Drosophila melanogaster: one gene and its partners. The protein of the gene in region 2 purifies or fractionates together with the protein of the main gene of each other region. This does not show direct contact. Each region holds a gene or a part of one and is shown on either strand. Other genes may lie near its edges.

Region 1 (5,177 bases), on a different chromosome or scaffold from region 2:
CTGTTGCTTGTGGCTGGCACCACCGTTTGCTCCTTCATGGTGGAAGATCTGCTCGTGCTGATGCTGGAAGTACTCGTAGTGACCGACATGATCCGGATGGTGTTCCGTTGGCGGTGAATGGATCCTCGACGGTGGGCTGTGGTGCTGTCCCTTGGCGGCGTGGCCGGAGGTGGTGCTATGATGCGCTGCCTGCTTCTGTGAATGGCCACCTGCTCCTCCATGATGACCACCGCTGCTGGTATGATGACCATGTCCGTGGGCATGATGGTGATTGTGGGTTGGCGGCGAGGGCATGTTGTGGCCGCTGTGGGGCAGATGCGACGAGTGCTGCACACCCACCTGATGTCCGTGGTGGTGAGGAACATGACCTTGGGACGCCTCCATCAGCGTTGGCTGGATGTGGGTCACAAACTGGGCCATTTTGCCGCAACCTTCAACTACTGCTCCCTTTTTGTTGTGGTTTCTTTGAGGTTTGGGCTTAGGTAACACTTGTTTAAAATTTCACTCCTCTATGAGGCGGTTTTTTTTTTTGGGAAGGCGGGGGTGGCACTTTTATATGTATCCCAAAAGTGGGAGTGGGTAGCACAAAAAAACACACACTACGGCTGGCTTGCGGACGAGTTGTGGGCGACGGAGGATTTGGGCTCGGACCGTGGACAACCTTCTCGCAGGAGCAATGTCAAATGACTGACTAGGAGCAGCTATCCCAGTTGGGCCTTAGACGCCACAGGACTCGCCACCCGCCATCGCACCACCCGAACCACTTCGGCTCCAGCTCGGCTGTGCGCGTTCGTCCTCGTCGTGGCGGAAGAGCTTTAACCGGACCCAGTTTTATGCGCCTGGCCTGGCTGATAAGAGATACCACTCGCTTCAACGGCTGATTACGACTTTGGATGGCTGCGGATGCTGATTTAATGATGTCTTCGTGCCGCGCCACGTAGTGCTCTGTTTTTTATATCTGCCTGTCAACTGTGTCACGGATTTCCAATTCGTTTCGCTGGAGATTTTTTTGTCGCTGGGAGGCGGGGCTGCAATCTGTTATTTTTAAAACAGCCAGAGGAACATGTTCCGTCTATTTGTGTCAAGCGGGAAAGTATGCTCCGATTGTTAAGCACCTAACAGGTGGCAGCGAAGTCTAACGACTAGGGACTATCCTGTTGGTTCTTATTTTATTATTTAACATATCAAATCATGTTTTAAATGTTTTGAATATGGAAAAATGGGGTTAAAAAGTTAAAGCGAATGAAACCTATAATTATCTAATTGTCTCTACATTTTATTCTAAACTAACCAAAATATAGTATATTACTATTTAATATGAATTATCCCTCAATGACCTCTGCCGACGAACATTTTCAAGCCTAATATACCCGATTGTATTATTTTATACCTATTGCCCAGAAGCAATACGTTACGTTGTGAACTGAAAGCTTTTACCTTACGTAGATTGCTGGGCATTACGTTAAAGCTATGTTTTATTAAGCTTATTTCGTAGGGTATTTCGTGTGGTACATTGATATCTTAAAAAAGGGGGTGTGTCTCTTCATACACATATGCCTATGTACTTGACAAAACCTGGATGAAATGTACAGTTGGTATTTTAAAAATATTTTACAATACAATTTATTTATATAAGCATTATATTACAATTAAGGCGAGGTACAAACAAATTTGTTAACTCTTCGAAAAGCTTTGGGAAAGTTCCATCAACAGCGCATACAAATGTCTGCGAAATCTTCCCTTATCTCAACCTCCTGCATATATTTGTAGGTGCATATGCTTGTAGTTCGTTCGTCACCACGATTCTGTAGCTTTTGCGACTGCCAGCGCAACAAGGTCCAATGTCCAAGCGTCGCTGCCATATCGCGATGAACCAATGTACATATGTATGTACATATATAACATCGCTATACCGGCGCATCGGCAACTCGTTTGGATCATTTCGCTGGCAGCCACCGACGAGTTAGCAAGGCGACCTAGTTAAAACTCAGGAAAATACGAAAATAAACCCACATTCAAATGGCGTTCCTCAACAAGGTGAGCATATCAGTCAATTTACAACGCAGAGAAAGTGAAAAACACATCGCTGGGACATATCATATCCAAAGGTCCAAAGTTCTATCACGCTAGTGACGACAGCAACTGTTGATCGTAGGATCATACATACATATACATATGTACCTACCAACAAACATATATTCGAGTGGGTTCCGTTTCGAAAACAATTTGTTGCTGCCTATCTGTTAGCAATCATCTGTACTTTGCCCCCCCTGAGAAAGTATTATTAGCGGCGTCTAATGGCGGCTTATCGTGCACTCTATTTAAATCGGAATGCAAACTTTATGGGCAGGCATATTCGTTATCTGTTTTATGAAAAAAATAGAATGTGATGGTTGGTTATGAACCTCAAACATCCAAAGTCCCTTGTAAATATAAAAAAAACCTTCGTCTATGATCATGATGTTGTATTAATTAAATACATACGTAGTTGGCCCATTTTATTTGTTGCTTGTAGTTAAGATTAATTCGCGGTCAACTTTGTTGTTGTTCTGATTATTTCTACATTTTCATTTTGCATTTCGATAAACACTTGTTTACCAGTTGACTTTAAATCCGATATCCAATATCCGAAAATCCAGCTTGCTGCGCCTGCCCTGCGCCAGTTGGTGTCCCAAAGTCGCGCCTACGCCGCCGTGTCACACGTTTCGCCCAATGGCACCTCTTTCGCACTCACCGAGGATCAGCTGCAGCTGCAGGAACTGGCACGTAAGTTCACCCGTGAGGAGATCATCCCGGTGGCCGCCCAGTACGACAAGAGCGGCGAGTACCCGTGGCCCATCATCAAGAAGGCCTGGGAACTGGGCCTGATGAACAACCACATTCCTGCTGATATTGGTGGCCTGGATCTCGATGTGTTCACCACCTGCTTGTCGGCCGAGGAGTTGGCCTATGGCTGCACTGGCATCATGACCGCCTTAGAGGCTAGTGGTCTGGGCGTAAGTTTAAAGTCATGTCTATTTACGGCAAGATGATCGAAACGCCACGTTCTTTCATAGCAAACTCCTGTGATCCTGTCCGGTAACAAGGAACAGAAGAAAAAGTACCTGGGCCGCCTGCTGGAGGAGCCACTTGTCGCCGCCTATTGTGTTACAGAGCCCGGAGCAGGATCCGATGTGTCCGGCATCAAGACACGCGCCGAGAAGAAGGGTGATGAGTGGGTAATCAACGGCCAGAAGATGTGGATCACCAACGGTGGTGTGGCGAACTGGTACTTTGTGCTGGCCCGCACCAATCCGGATCCCAAGTGCCCGCCCAGCAAGGCCTTCACCGGGTTCATTGTGGAGCGCGACAGTCCCGGACTAACGCCCGGCCGCAAGGAGTTGAACATGGGACAGCGCGCCTCCGACACGCGTGGCATCACCTTCGAGGATGTGCGCGTGCCCAAGGAAAATGTGCTGATTGGCGAGGGTGCCGGTTTCAAAATTGCCATGGGCACCTTTGATAAGACGCGTCCTCCAGTTGCTGCCGGAGCTGTGGGTTTGGCCCAGCGTTGCTTGGATGAGGCTCTTAAATACGCGCTGGAACGCAAGACCTTTGGCGTGCCCATCGCTTACCACCAGGCTGTGCAGTTCATGCTGGCTGATATGGCCATCGGTGTGGAGACATCCCGTCTGGCGTGGCGTCTCTCCGCCTGGGAAATCGACCAGGGACGCCGCAACAGCTACTATGCCTCCATTGCCAAGTGCCATGCCGCCGATATGGCCAACAAGATTGCCTCCGATGCCGTCCAGATCTTTGGAGGCAACGGCTTCAACAGCGAGTATCCCGTGGAGAAGCTGATGCGTGATGCCAAGATCTACCAAATCTACGAAGGTACTTCTCAGATCCAGCGCCTCATCATTTCCCGAAACATGTACGAGGCTGCTAAGGGTCAAGCCTAAGTCAGTTTTAACTAGGATTCCTCATCTCCATTCACCTCATCAGTTGTCATGCTCATTGTAGACACATTCACAAATCCGATTAATAAAGTACAATAAGTAAATAATTACAAGAAAATATAAATCATTGATTGTGATTTGTCTGTTGAGGGAAATGTTGTATAAATGGCACTTGGTAATTTCTAAGGAATTACTTATTCCTCAAGTGTATAAAAGGAAGGAAGAAGTAAGCAAACAGTCAGTGCGTTAGTATGTTTACTAATTCTTAATATTTCAAGTTTCTCTAATCTTGCCCTCACTTACCCCCAAAATTGTAGAGTCTAGACCATCGCAAATTATTTCGCTAGCTATCATCCATTGATAAGATAAGCCCTGTGGGGGCTGAGTGTTTGTTCTACTTAGGTTCAACGAATCGCTGTTCTGCTATCAACTGAACGATAAGACTTACTGTACTTAGATTTGCTATATAATTGTCAAACAATAAAAAATGCTCTGGGACATACAACACAAGGAAATGGTTTACACATGATGAGACTACACTATTCCGCATCGCTTCCATCAGCGAGTAGCTTAAGTAGACCTTTGTACCGCCTTCCAATTTTCCGGCTATTTGATGTGGTCAACATTTTGGCCTTGTCTCCAAATTGCAGCTGCCAAATGGACTGAAGTGTTTCCAGGGCTCCTGGCATGGAGAACACCTGCTCATCAACTGTTAATTCTAAGCGCCTGGGCAGCTGCTTTAGTTGTTCGAGTTTTTGCAGACGAATGTCATCCAGTAGATTTGTACAATTAACGGCCAAAAGATCGCGTAATTGAGGTAGTTCATCTAATATGTATCCAAGAGTAGTTCCACTTAAATTGCTATTATCACTGATATCCAACATCTGTAGTTGTTTGGCTTTGGCCAAATGCTGGCTGATATTGTACATATGCGCATCGTTCAAGCCGCAGCCAGCGAGCTGCACTCCGACAAATCGCTCGCAGGTACCACCTTCGAAAAGCGTAACCAGGCGCTCACTCAACGCAAATCCACTTGCATCGTCGAGGGGCCAGCGCACATAACTGAGATTCAATTGCTCCAGCCGGCAACTATTCAGTTGATCCGTTAGCCGACGCACACTCTGCTGTGTAAGTTGATTAAAGCTGATATCAAATCGCGTCAACTTATTGAATCCCAGGTCAAAATCCTGCAGTTCCGTCAGTTCACATTGAGCAAGTTGAAGGCATGTCAGAGCTTGA
Region 2 (4,408 bases):
AAAATCATGTACCTAGTAGATGTTTATTTTCCGTTCTTTAAGATAAAAATAATAATAATATAATACATTGCAATTTTATACTCTGTGATGACACATTCGACTTTAGAGTAGTTTTTCTTTCTAATACGTGGTAAAATAAGACAAAGTTTTGTCGTGTGTAGGCCCTACACCCTTTCGCAGTTTTTATACAATATGTTGAAAACGCGAAAACGAAATTCGACAAATTTTTTTGTTGCTTAATAAATTTTTTGCAGACACATAAAATTATATTTATTTCTGAACATTTTTTTAAGATTACACAGTCTTGCGCTTCAAGGGCTCTTATGAAAGGATAAACAATGAATGAATTTTGAGAGAAAAAGAAACGTTCAAGGAAAAGAAGTATTACAGAGTTCAGTTCATAATAATAAAAAATTAAATATTGGTTAAGCCGAGATTTTGTTTTATACTTTGGAAACACTTCTTCTTTCAAAGCACTCAATATAAATTTTCCTGATAATTTATTCTGGAAAGTATCTAGAAAACAATCCTGAGTAATGTTTACGAAAGTATTGTAATATAGTCTCGGAATATATCCAGAAGACATTTAGGGAATGCTTACAGAAGCTTTTCACGGAGTTCCTACAGCACGGGAAGTATGAAAGAGCCCGGCAAAAAGGAACACCAAATTTCCTCCTCATGAAACCACTTCCACTCGAAAAAGAGTATCGAAAGTGTTCCGGAATAATTCCACTACCGTCTCGGTGCTTCTCTACTTTTTTCGTTGGTACAATACAATAGAAAGAATGTAACCAAAGCAACAAGAATTACGGCCAATTTTTTACGTTAAATCAAAAACTTTTTAAAGTTGTTGTTGGTGTTAGAATAAAATAGATAAGTTATTCAAATTGGTTCGGATTTTCTTTAATTATATATATGTAGGACAGAAAGTGGAAAGTCTGGGAATTTTAGTAGCACTTTTTTTTAGTTAGTCTCATTTTTTGTTGATTAGCTTACAGCTCCAAAACACATTTTATTCGAGGACCGTGTATAAACTCTAGTTCCCGTGACTATATATGATTAAACATTATAAAATGTACCACAGTGAAACTGATTGTTGGATTACATATATGTATTACATTAGTATATATGAATATGCATGGATGAGAAAATCTTGTGTATGTGTTGTATCCAAGAGATACACATTCTGTAATGAACTTGGATTGCCTAACTGAACGAATAGCGAACCTATCCGAAGGGAATCATGCGTAACCTAAATACTTTGATTATAACTTTTACATATGCATAGATTTAAATCGACTCAAATATGAAATAGTACAAGTTAATTAGACGGGGCACATTAACAAAATCTCAGAAAATAATTTTTTTTGTTTCATTACATAGTTTCTTACTTTTGTCAGCAAAATAATTACTTGTGACGTTTGAAAAACTAGTTGTAAGTTTAAATACAGAAGTCAATACACTGGAAACGTTTATCCGACATTTTCAGATCCTTGTGTGGAAGTGGTTAATACTTGAAAAGTGATTAAAAAAAACAACATATAAGGCCCTGTGGAGACTATGCTCTAACATTTTAATCGAATTTTAAGTGATACCATGGTTTGTTTAAAAGGAAAGTTAAGGGGTGCTTACGCTGTTTTGATTTACAAATGACTGGAATTTTTGGGTAGGATATTTTCATATATAGATATTTTGATTCCTTGATATCCCAAGACTCAACATTTTTTTTTTATTTTTGATCAGAGGCAGAATATTTATGTTGTTAACTATTGCAAATCGCAACCAAAATATAGTGATTGTCATTTATCTTGGCCTGATATCGACATATTGGCAATAGCAGACCTTTGATTAATAAAAATGTCTTAATTTTTGGTTAATAGAGAGGAAGAACCTAAGTTTTTTGTTTTCAGGCAGCTTTATAGTGTTTGAAAAATTTGTAACATCGTTTTTAAATTTGATTTTTAAATTTGATTTGAAAAAGTTGTTTTGGCAATTAGAATTCGCGAATAATACCATAGTCCTACAGAGCACATTCGTAAAAAACAGTTGTGATTTTTAAAAATTGTGTAACTCCGAGTCTAAGTTATATGCTCACTAACCCCTTGGGGGCAGCCTTTCTAGGTCAATTTAAATATTTCACTTAAAAAATGTACACGAAAATGGTTTTATCGACATTCGACTTAATGGCGCAGTCAAAACATTGTATTATCGATGTAGTTTTGTGTTTCTTTTTATTGTTTTCATCAGACCATGCTTAGGGTATAGTCAACATACTGTTATTAGTATTTTATAGAAAACAGTATTTTTAACCATCGTTTAACTTTTCTGAAAAGTACAGCATTATTAATCGAATGACTAGTTTACACGTCAATTTACTGAAGTTACTGAAGACAAGCTTTTTCCTATACGAAATAAAATAGTTTCTTATTAAACATGGGACTAACAATATCTAGTCTTTTGACACGTTTGTTTGGAAAAAAACAAATGCGTATTCTTATGGGTATGTTCAAAATACGATACACTAAATATAAGCCTTTAGTTCGCGCATAATTTTTAAGTACTTGCAATCAACGTGCACATAATTTTAAATATTTTTGTACGCAGTTGGCTTGGATGCTGCTGGAAAAACGACTATTCTGTACAAATTAAAGCTGGGTGAAATTGTAACCACCATACCAACCATAGGCTTCAATGTCGAGACTGTGGAATATAAGAATATATGTTTTACCGTTTGGGATGTTGGTGGCCAAGACAAAATTCGCCCGTTGTGGCGACACTATTTCCAAAATACACAGGGTCTTATATTTGTAGTGGATTCCAACGACCGCGATCGTATAACTGAAGCTGAAAGAGAACTACAGAACATGGTACTCATTTTATTTAATTAAAAGTATATACATACGTGTCAACCAATTCCATGTTTATTTTTCCCACAGCTCCAGGAGGATGAACTTAGGGACGCGGTACTTTTGGTTTTTGCCAACAAACAGGACCTACCGAATGCAATGACAGCTGCCGAGCTTACGGACAAGTTGCGCCTTAACCAATTAAGGAATCGCCACGTATGTCTTAGGGGTAATTGTCCCAAAAATGTTTACTTATATCTACCCATTTTTAGTGGTTTATTCAGTCTACATGTGCTACCCAAGGGCACGGTCTTTATGAAGGACTTGATTGGCTATCAGCTGAATTGGCTAAAAAATAAAAATATTCCTTATATTGTAAGATAGGAATTGCTGTTCTCGTATGCTGAAAACTAGATTTTAAATAAACTTGTAAATGTATATAAACTCGTTTGGAACTTTGTTGTAAATTTAAAATGTCCACGTTTTATGTGTTGGTGAGAAAACTGCACTTGCCTTAGTTGTATTTTTAAAAATTAGTGATCGGATAACTAATAAAAATATATTTTTAACTTACTTATTCGGGAAAATATATGTTCGTTTTTTTATTAGTATGCCTCAATACCATTACCAGAATTCAATCAAATAAACATATTTTTGATTCGTACTCATTTATGTTAATTCAGTTTTTAATAGCCACCAGATTTGTTGAAAACTACGTAACTGTTAGCAGAAGCGTTTCCGACCTTAGAAAGAATATATATTCCTGATCAGGACCAATATCCGAGTTGATCTGGGCATGTCCGTATGAACGCCTCGGTCTCAGGAACTATTAAAGGTAGGGAATTGAGATTAGACATGCAGATTCTATGTCCGTATGAAGAGAACTATTAAAGGTAGAGAATTGAGATTAGACATGCAGCTTCCAGAGGTATTTACGGAGAGAAAACTTTTGATATTTTAAAATATTTTTATTAGTCTTGTAACCCAAAATCCCCAAAACCCCCCACCCAAAATCGCTCAAACATGCCGAACATTCTTAAAAAATTGGTTATTCTTATTGAAATCTTTCACACTTCCTGCTGAGTAAATGGTATCTGATTCTCGTGGAATTCGAGAAAGAATTCGACAAAATATAAAACTATGAAAAAATATCGAAAGTTTTTTAAAAATGTGGTCGAGGCCGTTTTGGGTGGTTTTATTGCGTTAGAGTGCGAGTGGCCAAAATTTTTTTTGGCAAATCGATAGAAATTTACAAGACTAATAAAAATATCAAAACATATTTCAAAAGTGTGGACAGTTTTGGCCAGTTTGTTTGCGTCAAAATTGGCTTGGCAACATCGGCCAACAAACTTGCGCTGCGTCTATGTCTCTAGAATCTGTATGCTTAATCTTAATCTTCTAGCTTTTATAGTTCGTGAGGTGTCTAGATATCCATGGCCGGATCAAAGACACTAATAGCTTTGGCCAGATCGACTCGGCTGGATGTTCGGAAACGCTTCTTCTACAGCTTGTTTGTGTTGAAATTGGCGTGGTAACATGGGTCAAAAAAATTGTCTATGTCG
Region 3 (5,411 bases), on a different chromosome or scaffold from region 2:
GTAAGAGTTGATATTAGTATTTTAAATGGCTGACTTAAATGTTTTAGTAACTCATTATTCTAGCGCCAAAATGTCACCGTCGCCTGGACGACATACTGCGATCATGTCGCGCCAGCGTTAAGGCTAAACTTCCTGCCACTCCTGTGCAGCAGCCAAACATTCGTCGCCAACTTTTTACCCCTAACGCAGGATTCGAGAACGATAACCAAGCTAAGGAGATAGTAAACAGGGCGTTGGACCTGGACATGCTGGATGAACTGGAGAGCGACTACCTACCCGGGACTCCAGTCCACAGGAGAGTGCAGGAGGTAAAGAAGAAGCTTGGCATTGGGCAGCAAGGTCAGACAACGCCCCACGAGAGCCCAATTCTCAAGTTGCTTACGCCAAAAACGGCTCCGCCTAAAGGCACTGCTCCGCCCAAAACATCTGCACCGCCAAAAGTTTCTACCCCCCCAAAATCCACTAAGCAGATTCCAAAACCTAGGAAGCAGAAGGATCTCTCACCCGTTGCGAGCGGCGGCAAGTGCGGCTTTCTGAAATCCCTGGAGGGACAAGTGAGCCGCGATAGGGCGGACAACGAGGCCTTCTTCTATCGGGAAAACTTCGCAAGAAATAAGGATCAGCTGGCCCAGCATCTTTACAAGATGTATAACGCCCAGGTGTTCAACAACGAGCTGGATGTGCCCATCACCTGGTCCAAATTGCTGCGCAACACTGCCGGCCGGTGCATGAACAAGCGCAAGTGGGTGATTCTTATAGAGACAACCAGATATCCTCCTTGAATTCGATAAATATATATTGTTTGCAGACTTAACCAGCGTAGCAGCGTGGTGGAACTGAGCGTCAAAGTGCTGACTACCGCGGACCGCCTGCGTTGCACCTTGATACACGAACTCTGCCATGCTGCGGCCTGGGTATTCAATGGCGAGGGTGGACACGGACGGGTGTGGAAGATGTGGGCACAAAGAGCCAACGACAAGTTCCCCGATCTCCCGCAGATCAAGGTCTGCCACAACTATAGCATTGAATTCAAGTATACCTACAAGTGCCTGAGCTGCGACAAAGCGTAAGTTCTCCCAAGTGATAAAAAGAATATTATTGTCATGCAGTTTTTACGCATCACAGGTCACATGCCCATTCCCGATCCCGCAAGGTGGAAGATTTGCGCTGCAGGATCTGCCGGGGACCCATCACCCTCTTCCTGAACAAAAAGGACAAGCAAGGAAACACCGTATCCACGCCGGCGGGCGAGGCGAAGGGATTTGCTAAGTTCGTTAAGGACAACTTCCAGAGACACAAGCGCGACAACATGACTGCCGCACAGGTGATGCGCATCCTGAGCGTGGAGTACGCCAAGCAGAAGGGTCAGCCGGCGGAGGAGACAGCGGCGTCGATCGCCAGCCGAGTGGAAACGCTGACACTGGACGAGTCGTCCAACTAGCTGGGTTCTCTTTTGAGTTTTGTTAAATTATGTGCTCCAAGCCCTAAACCATTTTTGGTATATCATAGACAATTTGAAAAACTTAACTGAGATCTCAGTTCGTGCGAAGTAGTAGAAGTAGTATATTTTGTTTAATGTATTATATATTTTCTTAACCAGAAACATGGTTTCCATTAAAATTAAACGGACATTTAAAAGCTAGTGCTGTAAAGCTCGATTTTGCATAGCCGGTGTCGGCCGGCGGTGTTGGTAAAGGCGATGCTTGGACTCATTACTTACAGTGAAAGAGTATGTCTGTTTATGTATGTTAATATATGCCTAATACAACCTATTAAATAATTGCTTTGCACAATCTTGAAATGTTAAATTCTACACTGGTGAAAAGTGAGTAGTGCGGTGTACTTGCTAAGGCTAGACACAACAATTTTCTAGATGGAGTAGCAAAAAAAAAAAAAAAAAATGGCAGGGTATCCACGGGCCTACCTCCTACCTTGGCCCAAGGCGTATTAACACTGTGTTTCCGCAGTGGCGCTGGTCACACTACCCGAACTCACACAAAGCCACGGTAAACATTTGTCGCAGAACCGAACACGTCAGCTACGGGGATTGATTGTTAAACAACGTTTCTATCGCCCCGCAAATCCGATCCGTAGCAGCAGTCCATCCTGCGCCGTCCGCATCCGATCCGCGAAGTATTTTCCAGGGCAAAAACGTCAAACGCAGCAGCAAAATGGTAAGAGCCCCGACCTACGCACGCACACACCTACACGTCGGCGATTTTGGGTCTCATCGGCGGGGGTTATTGCATTCCGGTATTATCACTAAACCTATCCGACTTGCAGGTATTAATTGCTGCGGCTGTCTGCACGAAGAATGGCAAAGGTAAGTGGCTTGCATGCACCGCAAGAAATAATCACTTTAGCTAACCCGTAACGTTTGTACACGCAGTGATTCTGTCACGTCAGTTCGTCGAGATGACGAAGGCACGCATCGAGGGACTGCTGGCTGCCTTTCCCAAGCTGATGACTGCTGGCAAGCAGCACACTTACGTGGAGACGGACTCCGTGCGCTACGTCTACCAGCCGATGGAGAAACTATATATGCTGCTCATCACCACTAAGGCCAGCAACATTCTGGAGGATCTGGAGACCCTGCGCCTCTTCTCGAAAGTGGTGAGTTGCACACGGATGTACTCAAGCCGCAGTGTTAATCAGGCCCATCGCTTGCAGATTCCCGAGTACAGCCACTCGCTCGACGAGAAGGAGATTGTGGAGAATGCCTTCAATCTGATCTTCGCATTTGACGAGATCGTGGCACTCGGCTACAGGGAGAGCGTCAACTTGGCCCAGATCAAGACCTTCGTGGAGATGGACTCACATGAGGAGAAGGTCTACCAGGCAGTGCGTCAGACGCAGGAGCGTGATGCGCGCCAGAAGATGCGCGAGAAGGCCAAGGAACTGCAGCGGCAGCGCATGGAGGCCAGCAAACGGGGTGGTCCCTCCCTGGGTGGCATTGGCAGCCGCAGCGGCGGCTTTAGCGCCGACGGAATTGGCAGTAGCGGCGTGAGCAGCAGTTCCGGTGCCTCCAGCGCCAACACCGGCATCACCTCCATCGATGTGGACACCAAATCCAAGGCGGCTGCGTAAGTTCTTTCTCTGCTCTATTAAATCTAGGCTCCTGACTCATTGCTCTGATTTCATCAGCAGTAAACCAGCTTCCCGCAATGCCCTCAAGCTAGGTGGCAAGTCCAAGGACGTCGATAGTTTCGTGGATCAGCTGAAGAACGAGGGCGAGAAGATTGCCAATCTGGCACCGGCGGCGCCCGCTGGAGGTTCCAGTGCTGCAGCTAGCGCCAGTGCAGCGGCCAAGGCAGCTATCGCGTCGGACATTCACAAAGAGAGGTGGGTTTCAGCTCGATTGTATAGTTAGTTATTAAATGCATAACATCTATTTTCAGCGTACATCTGAAGATTGAGGACAAGCTAGTAGTGCGTCTGGGACGCGATGGTGGCGTGCAGCAGTTCGAGAACTCGGGCCTCCTGACGTTGCGCATTACGGACGAGGCCTACGGACGCATTTTGCTGAAGCTGTCTCCCAACCACACACAGGGCCTGCAGTTGCAGACCCACCCCAACGTGGACAAGGAGCTGTTCAAGTCGCGCACTACCATCGGACTAAAGAACTTGGGCAAGCCGTTTCCCCTTAACACCGATGTGGGTGTGCTCAAGTGGCGCTTCGTCTCGCAGGACGAGTCGGCAGTCCCGCTGACCAGTAAGTTCATCCAAACCCAAACAACTTCTTCCCTCTCGCTCAGCCACGTGCTTGTGTTTCTCCCTTTTTCCCAGTTAACTGCTGGCCATCGGATAATGGAGAGGGTGGATGCGATGTTAACATTGAGTATGAACTGGAGGCGCAGCAGCTAGAGCTGCAGGACGTGGCCATTGTCATTCCCTTGCCGTAAGTGTAGTAATGGCGTAGATGTGCAGGCGATTACTTATTCCATTTCACCCTTAGAATGAATGTGCAGCCTTCGGTGGCGGAGTACGACGGCACCTACAACTACGATTCACGCAAGCATGTGCTCCAGTGGCACATTCCAATAATCGATGCCGCCAACAAGTCCGGTTCTATGGAGTTCAGCTGCAGTGCCTCCATTCCCGGTGACTTCTTCCCCTTGCAGGTGTCCTTCGTCTCGAAAACGCCGTATGCGGGCGTCGTGGCCCAGGATGTGGTGCAGGTGGACAGCGAGGCGGCGGTCAAGTATTCAAGCGAGTCCATTCTGTTCGTGGAAAAGTACGAGATCGTGTAGGCCGCGCCGCTGGCCACGCCCACCTAAGTAGTACATAAATATACATAATTTCCCGGGGTCATCCGATGCGATGCAATTAATTCAACTGCTGCAGCATGTTGAGAATTATTTTTCCATGTGCGAACTTTACATATTTATGGCGCAGACAGCTTCTCAGAGCGAGTAATTGATTCCAAAAAAAAAAAAAAAAACACCATCAAAGCCAATTAATTAAACTAATTTTGTGCACTCCGCTGCGCTGCATATAACGGTATCAAATAAATTAATTGCAATTAGTTGTAACTGGCGATTGCAGTGTTTTGTTTTGTGTGCTTCGTCGCACCCCTTCGATTTGAGTAATTTGTATGTAGATTGCTATGAATAAACCATATACAATATACACCAAAGTGGATTGTTTCTGGATTCTTAACTATAAGCGAAGGTTATCCCTTTTTTTTAAACTAAAAACTAAATATTAAATTTGAGTCACTTTTTTTTGCAAGTAGTACCCACTGTGCATGGATTCTTAACGCCCGGCTTATTGGTATTGCCGTCTTCTCGGCGAGCGGTCACACTGGTCATTGTTTTGGTTCTGTTCTTGCTTTGTTTTTTCACTGCGGAAATAACGACGTCGTCCATGGAGCAGCAACTGGAGAAAGTCCTAGCGGAAATGTAGGCACACTCGATCCGTCGATTCCAGATAGTACTCCAAATAAACCACAAATCCATAACGTATTTTCAGCGCCGCACGGCAGGACACAGTGGGAGCTCTGCTGGCCAATCGCCAGGGATTGTGTTTGGGCAGTGAGTATCGATGATTAGTCAGTGGCCGTGCCGTAATGCCACAATACATTTTTGCAGCCAAAGGAGACATTGATCCGAACGTGTCCGGCATCGGAATGGCCATTTCCGAGCAGGTGGCCAAACTGGAGCTGAATGCCACGGCTCCTGCAACGATTTGCCTTTACAGCGGAAACAAGTAAGTGGGAGGAGGGATATGAGGGGCTGTATCTAGGTGGACTAGATACGGACTACTCTTGGAATAGTCGGAATAGTTTAAAGAATGTACCTTAAACTATTTATGAATTATATTTCTGCTGCGTATTAATTGACACCCGTTTCTTTCCCCGCAGACGCTGTGTCATCCAGAAGGACGGCGAGATCACAGGCGTTATCTTCAAG
Region 4 (7,885 bases), on a different chromosome or scaffold from region 2:
TCCATTTCCATTTCGAAGTTGCAAACAAACTTTTCTCTTGTCAACCTACATTTATTAGAAAACAAATGGTTCTTATCAATTTAGTTCGAAAGTTCACAAGTGTCTCTTCCCCCCTTGAATGTGTGTCTGAAAATATTTGCTGTTCTGTTTCCATTAAGAGATATTTGGTAATTAAAAAAAAATATATATATTAATTTCTCTAATATAGCAATCTCTGTTAATAATTCTCGAAACAGAAACATGATCGACATACTTTCAAGCACTAATTACTTTTTACAAGGTATTTTATTTAAATTACAAAAGGATGTTAATCATTTAAATTAAATCTGAGACTGCAACGCATTGCGCACACATTTCCCCCAGAGCTTCGTGTGCCGCCTTCCTTTGCTACTTCCATCCTGGTTTTCCGCTCGGGATTACACGACGCGCTTGACCTCGAAGAAGCGTTTCAGGTAGTACACCTGGCCCACTGTCATCAGGACCAGGACGAGGGCTTCGAAGGTGGACCACAGCACCACTCGCGAGTTGGTGTTCTCGTTCACCGAACGATGGATCTTGTCGCGCACCTGAGGGAGTAAAGAAATTGGAGGATTAGTCGTGGATTACTTCACAAATAATGTCAATACTGATTATAACCGATGGTGAAAACATGAGTGTTTGAAAATCGCTACTAGTTATTGTTTATGTGGCAGCTAGCAGCTCCATTCCCTCGAACAAGTCTACCGACTCCGCTCTTAAATCTTGCGACGTGGATCTGTACAAGTAATGCTGGAGGCATGCCAGACTATGTGGCAATAGTTACTCGATTGCTCCCATATTCCATGTACCCCTAATTCTGCTACATGTTAAACTCTTCCAAAACCCCCAATCATGATTATGTGGCAGCTGGATGCTCCATCTTCACCTCGTCTCTTCACTCACATGCATGTACTCCTGTTCGTGCTTGACACTGGTCAGCGTGCCGGAGAGCTCCCGAATCATGTCCTCCAGCTTGGTGTGGCCCACCTCCTCCTCGCCGGGTGCTCCGGGCGCACGTTGCGGTGCGTCACCCACGTCGATGGAGAACATGACCAGCTTGGGGGTCATGCTGCTGCGTTCGTTGTTGAAGCACACGGTGTAGGTTCCCTTGGCGGGGGCCACAAAGGTGTACTTGCCGGACGACTCCTTTTCGCTCTCGTGCATCACATGGTTATCCGGGCCGCTGATCTTGATGTCCACGTCTAGGAAGCCACCGTCGATCACCTCGAAGGTGACGCCTGTAAAGTCACCATCATTTTATCAGCATAGATCCCTTGTCAATTGACCGAAAATCCATATCGCTCACGTACCAAACTTGGTGCCGCCTTCGACGTTCTCGAAGAAGCACTCCTCATTGTGGGCGTCCACGCTGACGATGAAGGCGTGGCTGGTGCGGCACAGGATCAGCAGGCTGCCCACAAGGAGCAGCACCTTGGCGAGTGTCGATTCCATCGTTTGTCTTAGTACTTTTGGCCTGGTTTTAATCGCTATTAAACGCACTGCAGCCACGTAGTTGTAGTCGATTCGATATACTCCGATAGATGTAGACAAATAGGGCATATCGAAGAACAGCAGTTTCCGATAGATTCGGCATCGATAGGTGCACGCGACACGCGATACCGAATTTTTAACGGATCACTACAAAAAACTCACAACTCATAAAAATTCAAAAGCAACATGAATGCCGCGAAATGTTTCGGTTAAAGTATTGGATATCGTAACTAATACATTACTTTATTTATGTGCGTACCTATATGAAAAACTCTTGGTGCATTCCATCACAGTTAGTTAAAGTGTTCTAGTATTTTTGTGCTATGTGTTAATCGGCGACTATCGACAGTTGCCCACCATTAGGAAACAGAAAGCTAAAAAAAAAAATGCAAAAATTGGCCAGAATTTCGGCATAAATAATAGTATCCCTTGCAAAACTTGCAAGCTGCGTGGCAGGACGAGCAGCTGACCACCAGATCGTCTTGAGGATTCAACATCAGGAACAAAGGTTTCACATTGGACGCATTTGCAAAAACCGAAAGGGAAAACTGCCAACTCCCACACACAAAAAAAAAGGAAAAAAAAAATCATCAGCACGGAAAGTAAAAGGTCAAGTGGTCAACCGAAATCTGGGTAATCCGGGGGAATCTTTGCAAGAATGCAGCAGAACTCGGCCAGCAATCCCTTCGCCATGTCCACATATGTGGAGCGGCCCCAAATGGGACTGGACGTCGAATTCGGAGCGGATCCTGCCAGCGGAGCAGCTTTCTTCCAATCCGATGGACGCAAGCATGATGATCTCAAGCAAATGTTGGACAGCAACAAGGATGGACTAAAGCTGGAGGCCATGAAGCGCATCATTGGCATGATTGCCCGCGGACGGGATGCCAGTGATCTGTTCCCGGCAGTCGTCAAGAATGTGGTGTCCAAGAATATCGAGGTCAAGAAGTTGGTCTACGTCTATTTGGTGCGATACGCCGAGGAGCAGCAGGACTTGGCCCTGCTATCCATTTCCACATTTCAGAGGGCGCTCAAGGATCCCAATCAACTTATTCGCGCCTCGGCTCTGCGAGTGTTATCCTCCATAAGGGTCAGCATGATTGTGCCAATCGTAATGCTGGCCATTCGGGATAGCGCCGCCGATTTGAGTCCATATGTGCGGAAAACAGCGGCACATGCCATCCCCAAGTTGTATTCTCTGGACGCGGATCAAAAGGATGAACTGGTCATGGTCATTGAGAAGCTTTTATCGGATCGCACTACTCTAGTGGTGGGATCAGCGGTGATGGCCTTCGACGAGGTGGGTCTGCAGCTAAAGTAAAACATTTATCCTCTATATACGACGGATCTTTATTCGTAGGTTTGTCCGGAACGTGTAGATTTGATACACAAGAACTACCGCAAGCTGTGCAATTTCCTGCTGGATGTGGACGAATGGGGTCAGGTGATCATCATTAATATGTTGACCCGCTATGCGCGCACTCAGTTCGTTGATCCCAATGCGGATGATGAGGATCTGGTCAACGATGGCCTGGGCGAAACGCCCGTTAGTGAACGCTTCTACGACGAATCCTCGCACTCCTCTTCCCACAGCGATGATGGCAGTAGCGATGACGAAAAAAACAAGTCGAGTACGAACAATAAAAACAATGGCGGAGGAAATGGCAGTAGAACACCCAGTTCTCCGAGCAACAGCTACCACATCGATGTGGATCACCGCCTGCTGTTGAGGCAAACGAAACCATTGCTCCAATCGCGAAATGCCTCCGTGGTGATGGCAGTGGCGCAGCTCTATCATCATGTGGCTCCCAAGAACGAAGTGCAATTGATTGCCAAGGCGCTGATACGACTGCTGCGATCGCATAAGGAGGTTCAGAGCGTGGTCCTCAATTGCATTGCCTCGATGTCCACCAAACGAAAGGCGATCTTTGAGCCGCACCTCAAGTCGTTCTTTGTGCGCACCAGCGATCCCACGCACATAAAGCTTCTCAAGCTGGATATTCTCACCAATCTGGCCTCGGCGGGCAGTATTTCGCTCATTCTGCGCGAATTTCAAACCTACATCTCCAGCAGCGATCGTTCGTTTGTGGCGGCCACGATTCAGGCCATTGGACGATGTGCATCTAGCATTAAGGAGGTTACCGAGACCTGCTTGAGTGGCCTGGTTCATCTGCTGTCCAATCATGACGGTGCGTTAAGCTTTCTTTTAGCCATTTGTATTTTAATTTTATAAGTATTCCGTTATTCCATTTAGAACACGTGGTGGCCGAGAGCGTGGTGGTGATTAAGCGTCTTCTGCAAACGAAAGCCGCCGAGCACTTTGAGATTATCACCCAAATGGCCAAACTGATCGATTATATCAATGTGCCCGCAGCTAGGGCAGCCATCATTTGGCTTATAGGCGAATACAACGAGAAGGTGCCGCTGATTGCCCCGGATGTGCTGCGCAAAATGGCCAAATCGTTTGTCGATGAGCAGGATGTGGTGAAGCTGCAGGTCCTAAACTTAGGCGTTAAGCTCTATCTGACCAATCCGGAGCAGACATCGTTGCTGTGTCAGTACGTCTTTACGCTGGCTCGCTATGATCCCAACTACGATGTACGCGATCGTGCCCGTTTTCTGCGGCAAATCATCTTTCCGGCGAGCGGAACGAGCTCGGTGCTCAGCCAGCATGCCCGCCAAGTATTTCTCGCCAGCAAACCGGCTCCGGTGCCGGAGAGTAAATACCGGGATGGCAATAACTTCCAGTTAGGATCGTTGTCTCACTACCTGAACATGCCAGCGGCTGGCTACAAGGAACTGCCCGCCTTTCCGGTGATTCCACCGGATTCATCGGTACGCAATATAGCTGGATTTATGCAGGACAAGCTGCCGGGTGAAGACTCGCCATCCGGACATTCAAAGGATAAATCCGGCCGTGAAGGCGGTAAGGAAAAGGGTGCTGGTGGCGAGAAGGGCTTCCTCTCTGAGTCGGACGACAAGTCTTCCGCTTACTCGGAATCAGGCAGCAGCAGTGGCAGTGGCACCAGCGACAGTGAATCCGATAGCGATGGCAGCGGGAGCAGCGATGAGGAGGAGGAGGAGGTGCAAAAGCAGCAGCCGACCAAGGTTTCCTCGGTGAAGGAGCGGCTTATCGATGCTGGAAGCAATGAGCTGGCCGCTACTTCTTCGCCTGTAAAAGCAACTATAAACAACAATAACAATGCGAGAGGTTCGTCAGGAACATCGGACAGCGAGGATTCATCAGCGTACAGTGGCAGTAGTAGTGATGACAGCGCTTCCGGTAGCGATAATGAAGTGAAAAAGAACGAAACGAAAACGGACACAGGCACAAAGCCGGAGAAGTTGAAAGAGAAGCACGAGAAACAGCCGGAGCAAACGGCTGTCAAGAGCAATCTGGACCTGCTACTCGATCTGGATGACATTCCGCCCATTGGTCCCGTGATGACGCCCTCGTTGGGAGGATTCCTGACGCCTGGTAAGGTGATGCGCATCTCTAAATTGGCCTCTTTATATAATAATTCTTCAATAGGCACACCAATGATGGCTGGACAGGCGGCGCCACTGCAGCCGCAGCACGCCCGCAATCGGGTGGAATTGGTGGGTCCCTCGCACATCGAGTTCAAGCACAAGGAGCTGCTTAACAAGGTCAGTGGCCATGGACTGCATTTGGCCTACCGTTTCACCCGCTCCCCGCATCTGTACTCCTCGAGCATGTGCTCCATTGAGCTGCAGTTCCAGAATCGTGGCGAAAAAGAGATTACGGCCATTCGTCTCGGGCAAACAACTCTGCCGGCGGGCATGCAATTGAATGAGTTTGCGCCAATCACTGTTCTCCAGCCCCAACAAACAGCGAGTGGTGTGCTGGGCGTCGATTTCAATGATTCGACGCATGCTGTAGACCTGGAGCTTCTGTCAAGTGCGGGCAGTTCACGACTGCAATTGAAACCGCCGGTGGGCGAGCTGGTGAGATCCGTCCAGATCGGCGAGAGCTGTCATCGCGAGGAGCGGGCCAAGCTGCGTGGAATGAATGAGCATCAGTGCGAGTTGCGTGGCCTGAGGCAGGACCTAATCGATGTGGTCGCATTGCGGCAAAAGGTTTTCGAGTCCATCAACGTGGCGCATACGCACAGCTCTTCCAGCGGTCAGCTACACTGTTTCGCCGGCCAAACCCTGAGCTCCAAAAGCCTCGTGCTACTCACCCTCGATTGGAAAACAGAGGATGCCCTCACGCTGCTGGTAAACTGCGAGAAAATGGTCATTGGATCCATGGTGCTCAACGAGCTGCGCAATGCTCTGCAGCTCAGTTTCGCCATGTGAGCGATGGACACGAAAGCGAACAAGACGAAAGCGAGCAGCGAACTAACTTGAGGAGTGGAATCCCCTGGAGCAGGGCTACTCAACTGAGAATAAGGCAAAGCCGCCTCACTACGTAAACATAGCATTCATATTTAGCTATACACTTGTAAACGGGCGGGGAGAACGTAATCTTTGAAATTAGCTGATAACATTAGCTGAGATTACAGGTGTTTTAAATTCCATTTTCGAGAGATTATATGTAAATGTGCAGTGTAACAGATGCAACTTAAGTGTTCAAGTGGGATCGAAATCCAAAACTAATTTAAATTGCAATTTCAACTGTAATTATTACATATTCTTTAACTTGTTGAAAACTGAATGAAAAGTGATGCAAACTATTGTGTAAATGCTACAAAACTATATTTATTGTTATACACATTCGCAAATTCTTAATGAAACTTATTGAAATGGGAAACACACAACTTCCTATATATTTGTATCCGCTTATACTGAGATATTTTGCATAAAAGAGTCACCATTTCCTTTTATGAATGGATGAACACAACATGAGATTAGTGTAGCTTTCATATCCAAATCGAAAATTATTCAAGGATTACCAACCGCCCCGCCCAAATATAAATGAAACATGATCCTAACGCTTTTAATATTCCTATATACAAACTGCAACCACAAACAATTCCAGATGAAATGAGATGTTACAATTGATTGAACTCGAATCGTTGCCGATCCAAACAAATCCTATCCTCCAATCCATCCTACTTAGCTAGGCGTGTGTGTAATGTGTGTATGAGTAATCGAAACGTATTTGTAAAGTGTTTGATGTTGTAAATCTGTTGCCTTCGTGCTCTATGCGGCCTTCTTCAAAACGTAGCAAAGACAAACGAATATCGAATCTATATATTATATATTATATTCATACAATAAACAGCGCAAATTCTGGCAAATTAAAGTGAACAAATGAAACGTATTCTAATAAAGAAACAAATCAATCTGTTAATATGCCTGAAACAAATAAGCTGAATCTCCGCATTGAAAAGCTGAAATAAAAGCTTACATTTTAAAATTGAGAACGTCTTACCTGTTTTGGATAAACGAATCAAGTTTAATACACGCTCGCACATGTCAAGTAAAAATGCTTTTTTCAAAAGTTTTCAATTATTTTGATGTTTATTCACGCTTGTTCTTGTTACTTTCTCCACTCACCAAACAGAATATAAGAAGTCAGCAAGGACAAACTTTCAAATGCAAAAGAATCGAATCGAATTCTAATTAGTTCAATTCCTTAAAATTCGAGTTGATTTCTGCATTTATGTATCAATTTCCTGCTGCTGTCGCTTGAAAGTCGGGATTGCTTCAAAATAGCTCCGTGGGAAATTATAGAAGGAGGTTGGACATACTGACATGCTGGGTTATAGAACATACATAACTCATTCCTCAAATCCTACGCTGCTTTCTCCAAATCCAACTGTGTTTTAGGTGTCGGTGTCGGTGTAGTTGTAGCTGTATTTCCTTGTGTTCTAATTTGGGTTCTGCACAATTAAAAAGCTCAATTTCATGCTTATCAATATAAACGAGTTAGTTAGATCGCTAGGTTAGTAATGTTTAGTTTAGTTTTGGATTCGCTGCTGCACTTAAAGATCTCAAGTAGTAGTTTTAGTAGTTGTAGTTTTCGGTTAGGCTAGGCTTTAAGATCAACGGCTTGAAAGTTCCGAGTGATAAGTGAAGAAATATAGGGTTTTGGGGATGCTATATAATGTATGATTAGGGGATAGATAGCATGTATGTATGTACGAATAGTACGAGTATGTACGTATGCATTAATGTAATTTTTGGGTAATATGGCATGGGTATATGTATGCTGTAATAATGGGTTGTGAGTAGTTCTTGACAGGCATATAGTAGAGCGTTTGTATATAGTGTCCTGGGGTAGTATCGTTCTCTTCTCGTTTTCGCTATTCTGTATACACGTTATATAATATGCCACGGCCTTCGTTCGCTTAACTTCATATAAAACTAGTTTTTTTTTTACCATTTTTTTTTTGTTTTGTTTAGTTTT

What was found.
Region 1: the proteins of Arf4 (region 2) and Mcad purify together in Drosophila melanogaster (affinity purification with mass spectrometry, with the first as the bait; one large-scale study listed by BioGRID). This does not show direct contact.
Region 3: the proteins of Arf4 (region 2) and deltaCOP purify together in Drosophila melanogaster (affinity purification with mass spectrometry, with the first as the bait; one study listed by BioGRID). This does not show direct contact.
Region 4: the proteins of Arf4 (region 2) and rb purify together in Drosophila melanogaster (affinity purification with mass spectrometry, with the first as the bait; one study listed by BioGRID). This does not show direct contact.

Annotation. Positions count from the first base shown.
Region 1 is NT_037436.4:7,717,421-7,722,597, forward strand, and holds Mcad (Medium-chain acyl-CoA dehydrogenase), read left to right. Parts: upstream 1-1,929; 5' UTR 1,930-2,019; coding exon 2,020-2,037; intron 2,038-2,478; exon of another isoform or gene 2,479-2,639; coding exon 2,640-2,996; exon of another isoform or gene 2,997-3,056; coding exon 3,057-3,941; 3' UTR 3,942-4,052; downstream 4,053-5,177. Other genes in the region: CG7457 (uncharacterized protein), read right to left, coding at 4,478-5,177.
Region 2 is NC_004353.4:1,121,832-1,126,239, forward strand, and holds Arf4 (ADP ribosylation factor 4), read left to right. Parts: upstream 1-2,335; 5' UTR 2,336-2,433; coding exon 2,434-2,500; intron 2,501-2,604; coding exon 2,605-2,867; intron 2,868-2,936; coding exon 2,937-3,062; intron 3,063-3,118; coding exon 3,119-3,205; 3' UTR 3,206-3,494; downstream 3,495-4,408. UniProt on the Drosophila melanogaster protein: GTP-binding protein involved in protein trafficking; may modulate vesicle budding and uncoating within the Golgi apparatus.
Region 3 is NC_004354.4:1,858,358-1,863,768, reverse strand, and holds deltaCOP (coat protein (coatomer) delta), read left to right. Parts: upstream 1-1,978; 5' UTR 1,979-2,171; coding exon 2,172-2,174; intron 2,175-2,283; coding exon 2,284-2,323; intron 2,324-2,389; coding exon 2,390-2,613; intron 2,614-2,670; coding exon 2,671-3,083; intron 3,084-3,144; coding exon 3,145-3,342; intron 3,343-3,398; coding exon 3,399-3,712; intron 3,713-3,786; coding exon 3,787-3,898; intron 3,899-3,955; coding exon 3,956-4,250; 3' UTR 4,251-4,628; downstream 4,629-5,411. Other genes in the region: Gcna (germ cell nuclear acidic peptidase), read left to right, coding at 64-742, 809-1,066, 1,126-1,441; Lamtor5 (late endosomal/lysosomal adaptor, MAPK and MTOR activator 5), read left to right, coding at 4,867-4,901, 4,972-5,033, 5,091-5,208, 5,363-5,411.
Region 4 is NC_004354.4:4,534,588-4,542,472, reverse strand, and holds rb (ruby), read left to right. Parts: upstream 1-1,846; 5' UTR 1,847-2,167; coding exon 2,168-2,809; intron 2,810-2,869; coding exon 2,870-3,698; intron 3,699-3,763; coding exon 3,764-4,987; intron 4,988-5,041; coding exon 5,042-5,829; 3' UTR 5,830-6,838; downstream 6,839-7,885. Other genes in the region: CHOp24, read right to left, coding at 417-566, 922-1,256, 1,329-1,470.